Linked DNA regions of Arabidopsis thaliana. The protein of the gene in region 2 purifies or fractionates together with the protein of the main gene of each other region. This does not show direct contact. Each region holds a gene or a part of one and is shown on either strand. Other genes may lie near its edges.

What was found.
Region 1: the proteins of DRP3B (region 2) and AT1G77940 fractionate together in Arabidopsis thaliana (co-fractionation; one large-scale study listed by BioGRID). This does not show direct contact.

The regions. Positions count from the first base shown.
Region 1 is NC_003070.9:29,303,348-29,307,431, forward strand, and holds AT1G77940 (Ribosomal protein L7Ae/L30e/S12e/Gadd45 family protein), read right to left. Parts: upstream 2,065-4,084; 5' UTR 1,942-2,064; coding exon 1,921-1,941; intron 1,812-1,920; coding exon 1,706-1,811; intron 1,617-1,705; coding exon 1,515-1,616; intron 966-1,514; coding exon 897-965; intron 810-896; coding exon 769-809; 3' UTR 517-768; downstream 1-516. Other genes in the region: AGL67 (AGAMOUS-like 67), read left to right, coding at 3,682-3,866.
Region 2 is NC_003071.7:5,953,936-5,961,831, forward strand, and holds DRP3B (dynamin related protein), read right to left. Parts: upstream 6,174-7,896; 5' UTR 6,081-6,173; coding exon 5,712-6,080; intron 5,622-5,711; coding exon 5,339-5,621; intron 5,243-5,338; coding exon 5,214-5,242; intron 5,120-5,213; coding exon 5,018-5,119; intron 4,722-5,017; coding exon 4,653-4,721; intron 4,558-4,652; coding exon 4,498-4,557; intron 4,106-4,497; coding exon 3,992-4,105; intron 3,625-3,991; coding exon 3,576-3,624; intron 3,474-3,575; coding exon 3,364-3,473; intron 3,055-3,363; coding exon 2,965-3,054; intron 2,733-2,964; coding exon of another isoform or gene 2,730-2,732; coding exon 2,640-2,729; intron 2,502-2,639; coding exon 2,409-2,501; intron 2,326-2,408; coding exon 2,188-2,325; intron 1,981-2,187; coding exon 1,867-1,980; intron 1,773-1,866; coding exon 1,677-1,772; coding exon of another isoform or gene 1,673-1,676; intron 1,527-1,672; coding exon 1,484-1,526; intron 1,281-1,483; coding exon 1,138-1,280; intron 1,049-1,137; coding exon 902-1,048; intron 769-901; and 8 more. UniProt on the Arabidopsis thaliana protein: Involved in the control of mitochondrial and peroxisomal division and morphology.

The DNA.
Region 1 (4,084 bases), on a different chromosome or scaffold from region 2:
GGTCGAGTTTTCTTGGTAGTGAGAACTGAGAGCGATGTTACCAAATTTTGAAAGCTCTCTCTGTGTCTATAGATCGAGTTAGTGAGGTTGAGTTAAATAGGAGTTAGATTCATCCATTCTTTTACTTACATTTTGGAAGTTTTCTTTATGAGAAACTAAACGATGTATACAGAGAAAGAAATACGTAAAAAGAGGAAAGAAATACAGAAACACATGTGAATATCTATCCATTAGTTAAATGGATAAAATGACCAAAACAAGAATAACTTTGTTTCACCAAATGAATAACTATACACCTTGACAACAACAACTGAACAAAAACAATGGTTTATTTGTCTCCATTTTTGTCAGATGTGTATTTTGACACATGCCCCTTTTTTGGATGATCATATCCGTACTAATCAAATACTATAATAAAACCATGACACACATGTCTCTACTACGTTACTATCCAGATTCAAACTAACATGATTGTGACTACAATCAAACCAGTATTAGGTTTAGAAAAAGGAGTAATTTGTATTTGATCGTTTTCAGTAGTAAGCGACCTTCCTGTCAAACAAACTTATTGGCTTATTTTCAAGAACCATGATGAGAAAATGCGTAAACTTGTGTTGTAAGCTGCTTTTAAAGAAATTTCTTTTCCGGTCCTCAATATAAGAAAACTTGACAAAGAAGAAACACAATGTCTATTGCTCATAAAATTTTGAGAGACTCGAATACAAAGACGGGTAAAAAGTCTGGGAAAAATAAAATCTGAAAATTGTATCACTGGTCACCAGGAATTGACTTGATAATGTCAGAATCACCTGAAACAAGTCGAAAGACAAAATCATTAGTAGATCTATCAATGAAGAACCAGCAGCAATATATAAGCAAGTAGCTAGCTCTTTTACCAGGATCAACAATGCTCAGACAAGAAACACGGAAGTACTTTCCGCAAGCTGTTCCCAAATCAACGTTATCTGAAAGCCATTAACAAGGAGAGAAGAAAAACACAGTTAAGCCAAAGTGGTAGATACAAGAGGAATAACCGATGAATGAGCGTTGAAACATGAAACTATGTTCAATAGAATAAACATTCATCTACTTTCTTTGATGAAATCATCAAGATAATGTATTAAAACGCTCCTTCGAGTATTATCATCGAGCAAGATCAAGTTTTGTCTAAGAGTCAAAATCTAACAATGCGAAATCATAGACCAACAGAGCAATCTTTGGTATTATGAACCATGTCAATATTTGCAATAACCACATACAGAGACACCAACAGCAGTTCAAACCGATCGTGAACTTGCGAAAGATCAAGACTTCACGTCAATATACATTACAGTTTCTTCGACTTGAGATCATACTTCCATCATCAGTTTAATGGTCTATAGAAGCAGATTTTAACACTTTCATCTACTTAAGATTATACATTCTCAGTTATTATACACAATGAAAACCTTCACAAAAACAAGAGAACAATGAATCTTTAAAAACTGGACGAGCTAAAGAAGAAAGGAACTTACTTCCATTGTAATGGTGGACACCAACTTTAGCGAGCATTGCGTAGTACTCAATCTCTGATCTTCTCAACGGTGGGCAATTGGTGGAGATTAGAATCAGTTTCCCTGTGAACATAAGCAAAAACCAGAATCAATAACAAACTACAAAAAGCTAAAACATTTAGGTATGCAGACCAAGTGTTCGACGCAATTACCTTTGGAGCCACGGAGGGATTTGAGAACAGACTTGTAACCAAGAGTGTATTTACCACTCTTCATAACAAGAGCCAACCTACTGTTGATACCCTCATGAGACTTCTTCTGCAATTAAGCAATAAACCCAGAAACATATTAGTACATTGAGATCGTAAACGATATCTAGATGATGAGGAAAAGGGATAAAACTTTGATGGGAGAGAATAAGGCGCACCGTTTTCTTTTCCGTCACCATTTTCGCCGGCGATGGAGTGTAATCAAAATGTCTTGGATCTGTGCGGTGGAGGAGAAGAGGAGCACGATGACCAAACCGAAAAAGCGCCGCTTCGTCACCTTTTTATAGTCCGTGTCAATTTTCTAGGGTTTTTGCTCTTCAATTTATTGGAAATTTCAATTATGCCCTTAATGTTTCTATAGTTTTGTAATTTGTCAATTAAAAAAGTAATTACTCGATTTATTCGTTTCAGTGAATTGACAGTGATTAAATTAGCATAAACCACTTGTACATTCAACATTTTGTCGACATGAAACGTATTTGAATTACTTTTTAATTTACAAAATATGCAGAAATAAATTGGATAATTGGTAAACATATATTTTTTATATTTTTTTTTATACTTTTATTAGATTATTCAATGTTTCAAGTTTCAACAAGTTTTGTTTGTGGATGAAAAAAAATTCAAATTACTTTTCTATTTTCTTTCTATCGGATTCAACGTATAAGTTGAATTCTATAGAAATGGAACGAACTGATCAATCTCAGTTATGACTAGTGTGACAAAAGACAAAGTTTAACAATATTTATTTAATTAAGATAAATTGCTAATTTTAAGTGTTAGATTTTGGTAGACAAATATTAATAGATAAATTATAATTAATTATCTTGGAAATTAAGAAACAAGTAATCAAAAGTGGTTTAATTTTTATTATGATTTGAAGAATTAATAGAATAAGTCGAAAGATGTAAAAATATTTATATACACAGAGCAAACTTCACATTGAAGATCTCTCTCTTTTTTCCCCCTCTATGTTAATATCATTCCCCTTGTCGGCACGTAACAACAACGACCGAGACAACACAAACAAACAAATCCCCCACGTGTCGTAAACTGAGACCAGGTGGTCGTCATGTACAATATTTCTATAAAATATATGGTAACATCAAGAATTATTCCATAGAGCCCTAACCTAATTTGCTTCCTTTTGAAGCTCCTTCATCGAGAGGCACCTTCGTTATAAGCTTCAACTTCACTCGCTATATGTATACCCATCATGTCTCTCTTACACCATCTAATATCTCATACACACCATTATAATGTGTAATGGATTGTGCTTGTTTTGTTGGGTTACCAATAAATTCAAACACATGTACATGTTATTGACAAAAAGAGAAAACACATAAGGTTTGAGTCTTTAATTTCACAGAAGAGAAAACACACAGTGTATATACAATGTACAAATCACACTAGCTAGAACAAGCTATATATAAAAATTAGAGGCAGACTAGGAAATATATATGTGTTTGATGTATTTACTATATATATTATCCATACGCATACGCACCCACGTATATATGAGCCTTTAGGCAAGTGCCAAGAAACCTATAATGTTAAATATGAACATTGAATAAAATACATCTTTTTTTTGGGTTAAAGTTTTAAGTAACAACACTTGGTTATATAATAAGAGTAAACTACATTTTTACAAATATTATATAAAATGAGTATAAATGTAAGGGATGTACCTAGCCATATGGCAGATTCGTCTAAATTAAGATCAAAAATTCTATCCGCTCACCATTTGTAACTCTCTCTCTCTCTCTCTCTCTCTCTCTCTCTCTCTCTCTTAACACAAACCTAAAAACTCTCCTTTCGTCGACTCATTTACTTAAATATACAATTTTGCATTCGATCAATTTCTCTCGTGCCAACTAATAATAGATTGTGTTTTGATTATTTTGCAGTGACCATCGGATATGGGTCGGGTTAAATTGGAGTTAAAGCGTATAGAGAAGAGCACGAACCGACAAATTACGTTCTCAAAACGTAAAAAAGGTTTAATAAAAAAGGCTTATGAATTGTCAACACTTTGTGACATCGATCTTGCCCTCCTCATGTTCTCTCCCTCTGATCGACTATGTCTCTTTTCCGGTCAAACAAGGTATGTCCATTTCTTCTTCTAGAACGTTCCATGCTCTTCTAGAATCTTCTCCTTAGGCTTTTTCATCTTAATTAAAGTGTAACCATGTTTTGCATATACATGTACTGTCCATATCATTTGATTAAAAGACAAAACGGACAAGCCATATATTCTTTTTATCAAAAAAAAAATTGTTGGTGGAAGCCACCGAATAGTGGATCTGTATTTTTTGTACTACG
Region 2 (7,896 bases):
CATTAAGAACAAGATCAACTTACCAGTGATAAATTTATCATTACATTGTCTCATGTACGTTCTTGTTTTTCGTAACAAATAAAGCTATGAAAAGTAAAATTAGGAATTGATTATTCTTCTCGGTTTTGAGAAACAAATATTAAGTCACATTTTCCAGTAGGTTGATAATACCCTCACAACAAAACCTCTGTTTATCATCACGTTTCACTATACCTAAGAACACCTTTCTTTCCCCACGCACAACCGATTTAAAGGGAAGAAAACAAATCTTTTCCATCACCAAATGAATGAGTCATGCGTGCAATCACAATTTGAATTTACATATGAAGCCGTCCGTTCCCATTAGTTTCTGTCCTTGATCTTCTTGTGCCCGGTAACTCCTCATGTTTCGCTTCTGAACCAATTTTGTAACCTCTCTCGACCGATTCAGCTTCTAACGGCAGCTCGTCTAACGTCTGTTTTAAACCATATCAAAAAGACACATTTTAACAAGTTAAATTGCAATTTCTTCAAGATAAACCTTCAACTTACCCGATTAGCCTGCTGAAGAATGCGAAGAGTCTCTTGCGTGCGTTTCCTCTTTATCGCTAACTCATCGGGCTCTTTCAACAGTTCTTCAATTAAGTTCTCCCTGTCCCATCCACCAGATTTAGTTCATATAAAAAAAAAGACTATTCACAAAATCAAATGGGAAGCACATGGTTTCTTTCATCACCTGTAAAGCTTCTCGATGAAAACATTGTGCAGCTCACGTTTCGTGTAATTTACCTGTGTTTTATTCACAATTATATGGAATAGAGTTATTAGTCCCCTCACAAAGAATCGACCCACACTAAGTGTCATCAATGACCATAAGATGTTTGGCTAGACAATCAGAAGACTAGAAGAGTGGAACACTAACCAGAAAATGCATGATTGCTTTTGGGACCAAGTCCTCGACATTCTTCCTTACAATGTCATAGTAGGATTTCAATAATAGCTTTGTTATCTCAATCTCAACTGACTCCTGTTCTGAATGAGTTTCAGATGACTTCAAAATAGTTGGAGGCTTCAAAACAAAACATTATGAGATGAATAGGTAAGTAAAGTGACAGTATTGGGCAATATGAAAAGCCTGAGAAGGCACAAGATTCAAACCTCCTTTAAATAGATTGTTGACAAGTTCTGATACACTTCTTGAGTAGTTTCGCTGAATGGTTTGTTTAATAGGTTGTTTTTAGCAGCTGCCTGACCATCACTCCCCCGAAAAATTGATGAGAAACCACTCCAGCTTGTGCTTCCTGATTAATTCACAATCGGTCAAGAATACTACATTCATATTCTAAACAGAACATTGAATTAAGAGCAGACATGTATGCTTATATGTAAGTCGTATCTTAGACAAAGAATTTTATCATTTCAGTCCAAAATCATCTTAAAACCACACGTTCATTTATCTGTGCATACATGAAAGACTGAAAAATAAATGTGATAAGACCATTACCAGCTGGTGCAGGTCTTTCAGCATCTGCTGCAGTTGGAACTGCCTGTAAAAAATGTTAAGTAATTATATTATAAGAAGTCTCTAGCTGCATATCTGTACTCGCTTCATGGGCTTTCAGAAGCAGGGCCAACTACAAATATAGTAAGGAGATCAATGTAACAGAGTCAAATACATAACATAACGCATGACATGCCTGATCAGTGATGATTCCATTAGCTTGTCGGCCGAGAAAAGATCGGGTTTTTATTTGACTCCCGGAAGAAGCCGTCCTCTCAGGCTCCACAGTATCCTAGTTGTCATCAAAGGGAACATGTACGAAAAATTTCACAACTCGCAAAGAGAAACATAAAGCAAATATTAATTTCGCTGAGACTATTCCATACCCTTGGCCGCGCAACAGGATGCGGAATCCTAGAAGATTTGACTGTTTGCATTGCTTGCTCCACGGCTTTAGTTCCCCCGATAAAATTTGGGTGTGAGGTGTTTATATAATCCATCTGCAAATGGTAAACTTAAATATTTTAAACTAAATTTAAAAGAGGCACTAATCAATAAAATTGAGAGTAATCAATTTTCTTGAACTTAGAACATGGTCCTACTCCACCAGTGTGACAAAAAAAAAAATCAGTACGCAATCTAAGTAAATTTAATAATACTGGCCATTAGATTCATGATTGTGTGGATCTTAAATTATCCATACATACCTCCATTTCAATAAGATCTCGGATCATTGCCTGCGAAGGTTCAAGACCTTCTCGCAGAAAGTTCCCAATAACCTCATCCATGCGCTTTTGCAGGACTGGAAACCGCTGTAACTCTTTCATCATACACTGATGACTAATCTGTACATAATTTTTCAATTTAAAATTCATGGTCATGTAAATCAACAGTTAGCATCATAAAGAAACGCAAATAAAAATAACACCTTTACTAGCTCATCGAAGATGAACCTAGCGCACTGAAGGCTGGGATCTAATAAACGAGATATTTGCCTCCTGACAAGAACTTCAAATGGAACCTATGCAGATGAGAATGAAAGCAAGAGATACTAATCAGAGTTGCTGTAAAAGTAAAAAACTCAAGCAAAATAAGTATGTGGAAAGAACAGATAAGCAAAAAAATGCTCCCACATGCTTAGGGATATAGATAAACCTACATCTGGAACAAATAATGCAGATCTGGGACCAGTTGCATTTTGTATTGCAGTCCGAATATCATCAGCTGTTAAGTCTTCACATGGATCAACCTCCTTCAGAGCAAATTGAGAGAAACTAATGAGTTTAAAATCATTAAACCCCTATCAAGTAGCACTGACAACATCAGTAGGTAAAGATCTCTATACAACAGAGAATATTCAGATCGATTTTGAGTAATACAGATCAGATGCTTGAAAGATGGACGGATATGAACTAATATAAACACTGACTATATTTACAACTGAGCATAGTTCTACTCATACAAGAACTGCAAACATGCCACACTTCCAAGAACTGAAAACCTGAAACGAACTGTCTGCCTTCCGTGCAAATAGCCCCACTAACTAAACAAAGATATCTACACACAGTGATTACCTAACTAAGATATAGCCTAATGCTTAGCGAATCAAATAATATCTTATAAATAGAAAGTCATTCATACGAGTATAGGTTTTATATCAATAGCAACAAAATGAATCTCCTCCATTGAAGAACACATAGGTGTATAGGTTCTATATCAATAGCAACACAATGAACCTCCATTGAAGACCACAAATGATATCCCAAATTAAATTATGAAAGTATTACCTAACTAAGATATAACGTAATGCAAAACTTGGAAAAACAAAATAAAAGGCAGTTATAACTGAGTGAAGATCAAGGAAAATTATAAATGTAGCAAACCTCTAAGCTCTTAACAAATACTGATTGGAAAATGTAGAGAATTCTTGCTCCACCCGAGAGCTCAGATGTTGACATTTCTTTACTTTTCCCTTCCAGGGTAGAGGAGTATGCTGTTATAAATAATTAAGCCATGGTGAGGACCAATACCAACCTAAAAAGTATAAACTAACATCCATTGTCTAAACTGAAACAGAACCATCTTCAGATATTACCTTCGCAGTATTTTGTAATAAAACTGAGGAGAAGAGCTCCTTGACCACCCTATGAATTTCGAAACAGTTATAAACCAGAGTAAGCTGTAAGTTAAATAGTCACATGTTGTAGGCATATTTTATACGGAAATGAAAGAGCATATCTAGATATTTAGAAAAAATTTGTCAGAAATATTTCCCTACATATCTTGACATCTTCAAACACTAACTCTATAAATTACCGATAGTTTGTTTAACTGAAAGTAATCAGAAAAGGCTCCCAAGAATATCAAGAAGAGGATCACAAAAATGAATAAAATTATATTCAAATACGAAAACTGAGCAAGAAATCATACAACGCAAAAAAAGCAAATAGCAATGCCATCATTGAGAATGGATGGTATATATAAGGCTAAAACTGGCCAAAACCCACATACCCTAGACTCTGTTATATCCCCATAGCTCTCATACTCCTTTGCTGTAGCAAACAATGCATTGTTGATACGTGACTTTAAACTAGGAAGCAGTGCCTTGATGTGTTGAACAAGGACCTGCAAAGAAGGGAAAAAGAACTAGCTCCCATCAGACAGCTCATAATTTTAGTAATAATATTACCAGCTATGAAACTTATGAGATGCCATCTTTAGAAAAAGGACTACTCCATTCACAGAAAAAGAATCCACCATATGAATCAACAACAATAGTGAGAAGATGTCGCTGAGTTTTTCAAATATATACACACTAATGTCCTACAAAGATCCTAGCTCCTCCTGCTAAATGAAATAAGAAACATGAATGTTACATACAAAAGCCAATTTATTGTCTCAATTAGAGACACATCGGAAAATCCAGAAAGTGTATTCCTTATGACACTCGTGTCTTGACTGCATAACAAGATAATCATAACAAAGAAATTAGACGATCTCAAGACTGCAGATAATACCTGATTTAATTTCTTTGCCAGTTGAGGGACACCCAAACGATCTGTGAGACCGCTGTAAACCTGTTTATTAGAAAACAAACCAAAACAGAAGATATAAGCAGAAGAGTCAAGGAAACGCTATCAGAAAACAAATCGAGAGAATGATGCAGTCTTACTGGACGACTACGAAAGAACTTTTCCTCTGCAACAAGAGCATCCTTGATGCTACGGTTCATCAAAATATCCTGTTAAGGAATTAACACCCACATTAGTTATTGCCTTGCGTAGAGGGCAGTGGCCACATAGTAAGAGCAAACGAAAAATGAATATAGAGTAGAATGGTTTGGTAACACTAAAAAAAAGGTCTATATTACAGGTAGTATCCAAAGGGAAAAGAAGAGTCATAGAGATACAAATTGTGATAGCAAGAAATAAGACACACAAGCACAAAAGTAGAAGTGGTCACAGCTCATAATGGTAGGACAAGAACAATATACATCATAAGTAAACATGCGTAAATTTTTTGAAAAACAGGGTTTACCTCTTGACTACGATTTACAACTCCCACGTATCCAAGTCGAAGAGGAATTGTTTTTCCCAGAAGGTGATTCCGAGCATCAGTACCTCTGTCCATAATATCCAACTGAATCAGAGAGAAAATAGAGCAATCGTGAGAAATAGAGTAGTTTGCCATCACAGCTAAATCTAAAGCAAACTTATGAGGAGAGAAATAGCACCTTTGTGATTACACCTATGGTTCTATGACCTGAGAACAACAAATTCATATGCAAAACGAAATGTCACTATGTAGTATACCAATGAAACTGATAAATTCTCAATCGACTTGCTTCCAAAGACTCACCATCAGGATCAGCATTTCCTGCGATTTGTAATGCATCTGAATTTGCTAAATCAGTATTAGCAGGGCTAACAGCAAGTATCAAGCAACTAGGTTCCTTAATGTAAGTCAAGATCATCGTTCTTATACGCGCTTCGATATCACTTGGCTGATCACCAACAGGAACCTTAGTGATACCAGGAAGATCCACAAGACTAATATCCAAAACATTAGGTGAAAATATCTTCAAACCAATCGGAATATCTGATACACCTTTGTTCTCTCCTGATACTCTATTAGTCTCCGCCTACAAACAAATTGTCATATTCATACAATTAGACGATCATCATCAATAGATTCTATGACGAACTTAGAAGAAGAGAATGAATAAACAAACCTCAATCTCACGGCGAATCTCAGAGAAATCGTAGATACGTCTAACAGGATCGTGGTGAAGAAACTCGCCCCACTCTTCATCGGATCCACCATCAGAGCTAGGTTTCGTCTGAACAAGCTGGAGACGGAGAGGTCGGCGCGTGCAAATATCATTGCCACGAGGAAGAAAGTCACGGCCGACGAGAGCTTCTAGAACGCTGGATTTGCCACTGCTTTGACTTCCGACGACAGCTACTTGCGGAAGAGCGATCGTCGATTGACTTCCTAGCTGAGCGAATATGTCTTGGAGCTTGTTCACAATCGGAATCACGGAGGAGCCTAGTGGCGTTACGGCGGAGGCCGACGACGGAGGGAGATCGTCGACGGACATTGATTTGATTCGATCTAAAGATGGAAGTAATTTGAAAAAGGGGTTAGGGTTTTGAGTAGATTTGTTGCAAAGAGGTTAAAGAAGATCTTTCTCGATCACGCGCCGATTAAAGTAAATCAGAGTTAATAATATCTCTAAATATTTGTGTAATTTTCGGAGTTATTTCTTTTTGAGAAATTATGTAATTTTATGTTATTTTTTAAAGGATAATATATCATCTTATTTGAGATGTAGATTGCACTATTTTTTTAAGGGAGATGGGAGATTTGCAAAACTATCCTTATTCTAATAACCTTTTGTAAAAATGTCCTTTCCTGAAGGCCATTTTAAAAACTGCCCCTTTTAATATGGCAAATGACTGTCTTACCCTCTGAATGATTAGGTTTCACGTTCGTTTCACAAACTTCTTCGTTTTGGCACAAACTTCTTCGTTTTCCTCTCCGATTTCACTCAAAATCGCCGGCGAATTTTCTCTCCGATTTCACTCAAAATCGCCGACGAATTTCCTCTCCGATTTCACTCAAAATCGCCAACGAATTTCCTCTCCGATTTCACTCACAATCGCCGACGAATTTTCTCTCTGAGAAACCCCAAAATCGCCGACGAATTTCCTCTCCGATAAACATGTTCTTCGCTGAAGGATTCAGATCATTTCTCTACGACGCAAACAATCCCCAGAGATATCGATAGATCCGACGGTAACCGTTTTTATAATCGATTTTATAGTCGATTTTATAGTCGATTTTATAGTAGATCTGACGCTGTTTCATAACATGTTTTGCAGATGGATTCAGAGAGTGAAATCCTTGCATTGCCTGAACAAATCTACAGAGAAGGTGAGGAATCTATTACACTGGGAACCGTTCAACAATACTCGGATTGGAATTTAGTTAGTAAAGTAGAGGAAGCTTTAGGCGAGTATTTATTTCAGAAGATTAGAAGTTCGTTTCTTGGTCCTCTAGTTGAATTGGGACCAAAAATGAAGGCTAAGAAGGGAATCAGATTTTCTGGAAAAATCTTTCACTATCTCATGCAGCAGAGAGTGAAAACAAAAGGATCAACTCTTTGGTTTAGAGTTGATTCTCAACCTATCCGTTTCTCCTTGAGAGAGTTCTATCTCACAACAGGTAATAAAGTTTTACAATCGTTTTTAAAGCTTAATTAACTGTCGTAGAATGATTTACAAGGCATTTGCATAACTGTTTGCGTAGTTTACAATCGTTTTTAAAACATAAGTAAGTGTCATAGATAATTTACAAGGGATTTTAAAAGCTTTTAAAAGGGGTTTACTTCATTAACAATCGTTTAAGAAGCATAAGTTAGTAGCATATAATGATTTACAAGGGATTTTAAAAAGGGTATGCATGGTTTACAACCGTTTTTAGGCATAAGTAACTAGCATAGAATAATTTACAAGGGATTTTAAAAGCTTAAAGAAGTGTTAAACACGTTTACAAGGGATTTTAAAAGCATAAGTAAGTGTCTTAAAACGATTTACAAGGGATTTTAGAAGTGTTTGCATAGTTTACAATCGATTTTAAAACATAAGTAAGTGGCATAGAATATTTACAAGGGATTTTAAAACCTTTTCTAAGGGTTAAACATGATTAGCAATCGTTTTTTAAGCATAAGTAAGTTGAATAGAATGATTTACAAGGAATTTTAAAAGCTTTTAGAAGGGTTAAACATGATTTACAATCGTTTTTAAAGCATAAGTAAGTGTCATATAATGATTTACAAGGGATTTTAAAAGTGTCTGCATGGTTTACAATCGTTTTTAAAGCATAAGTAAGTGGCATTGAATGATTTATAAGGG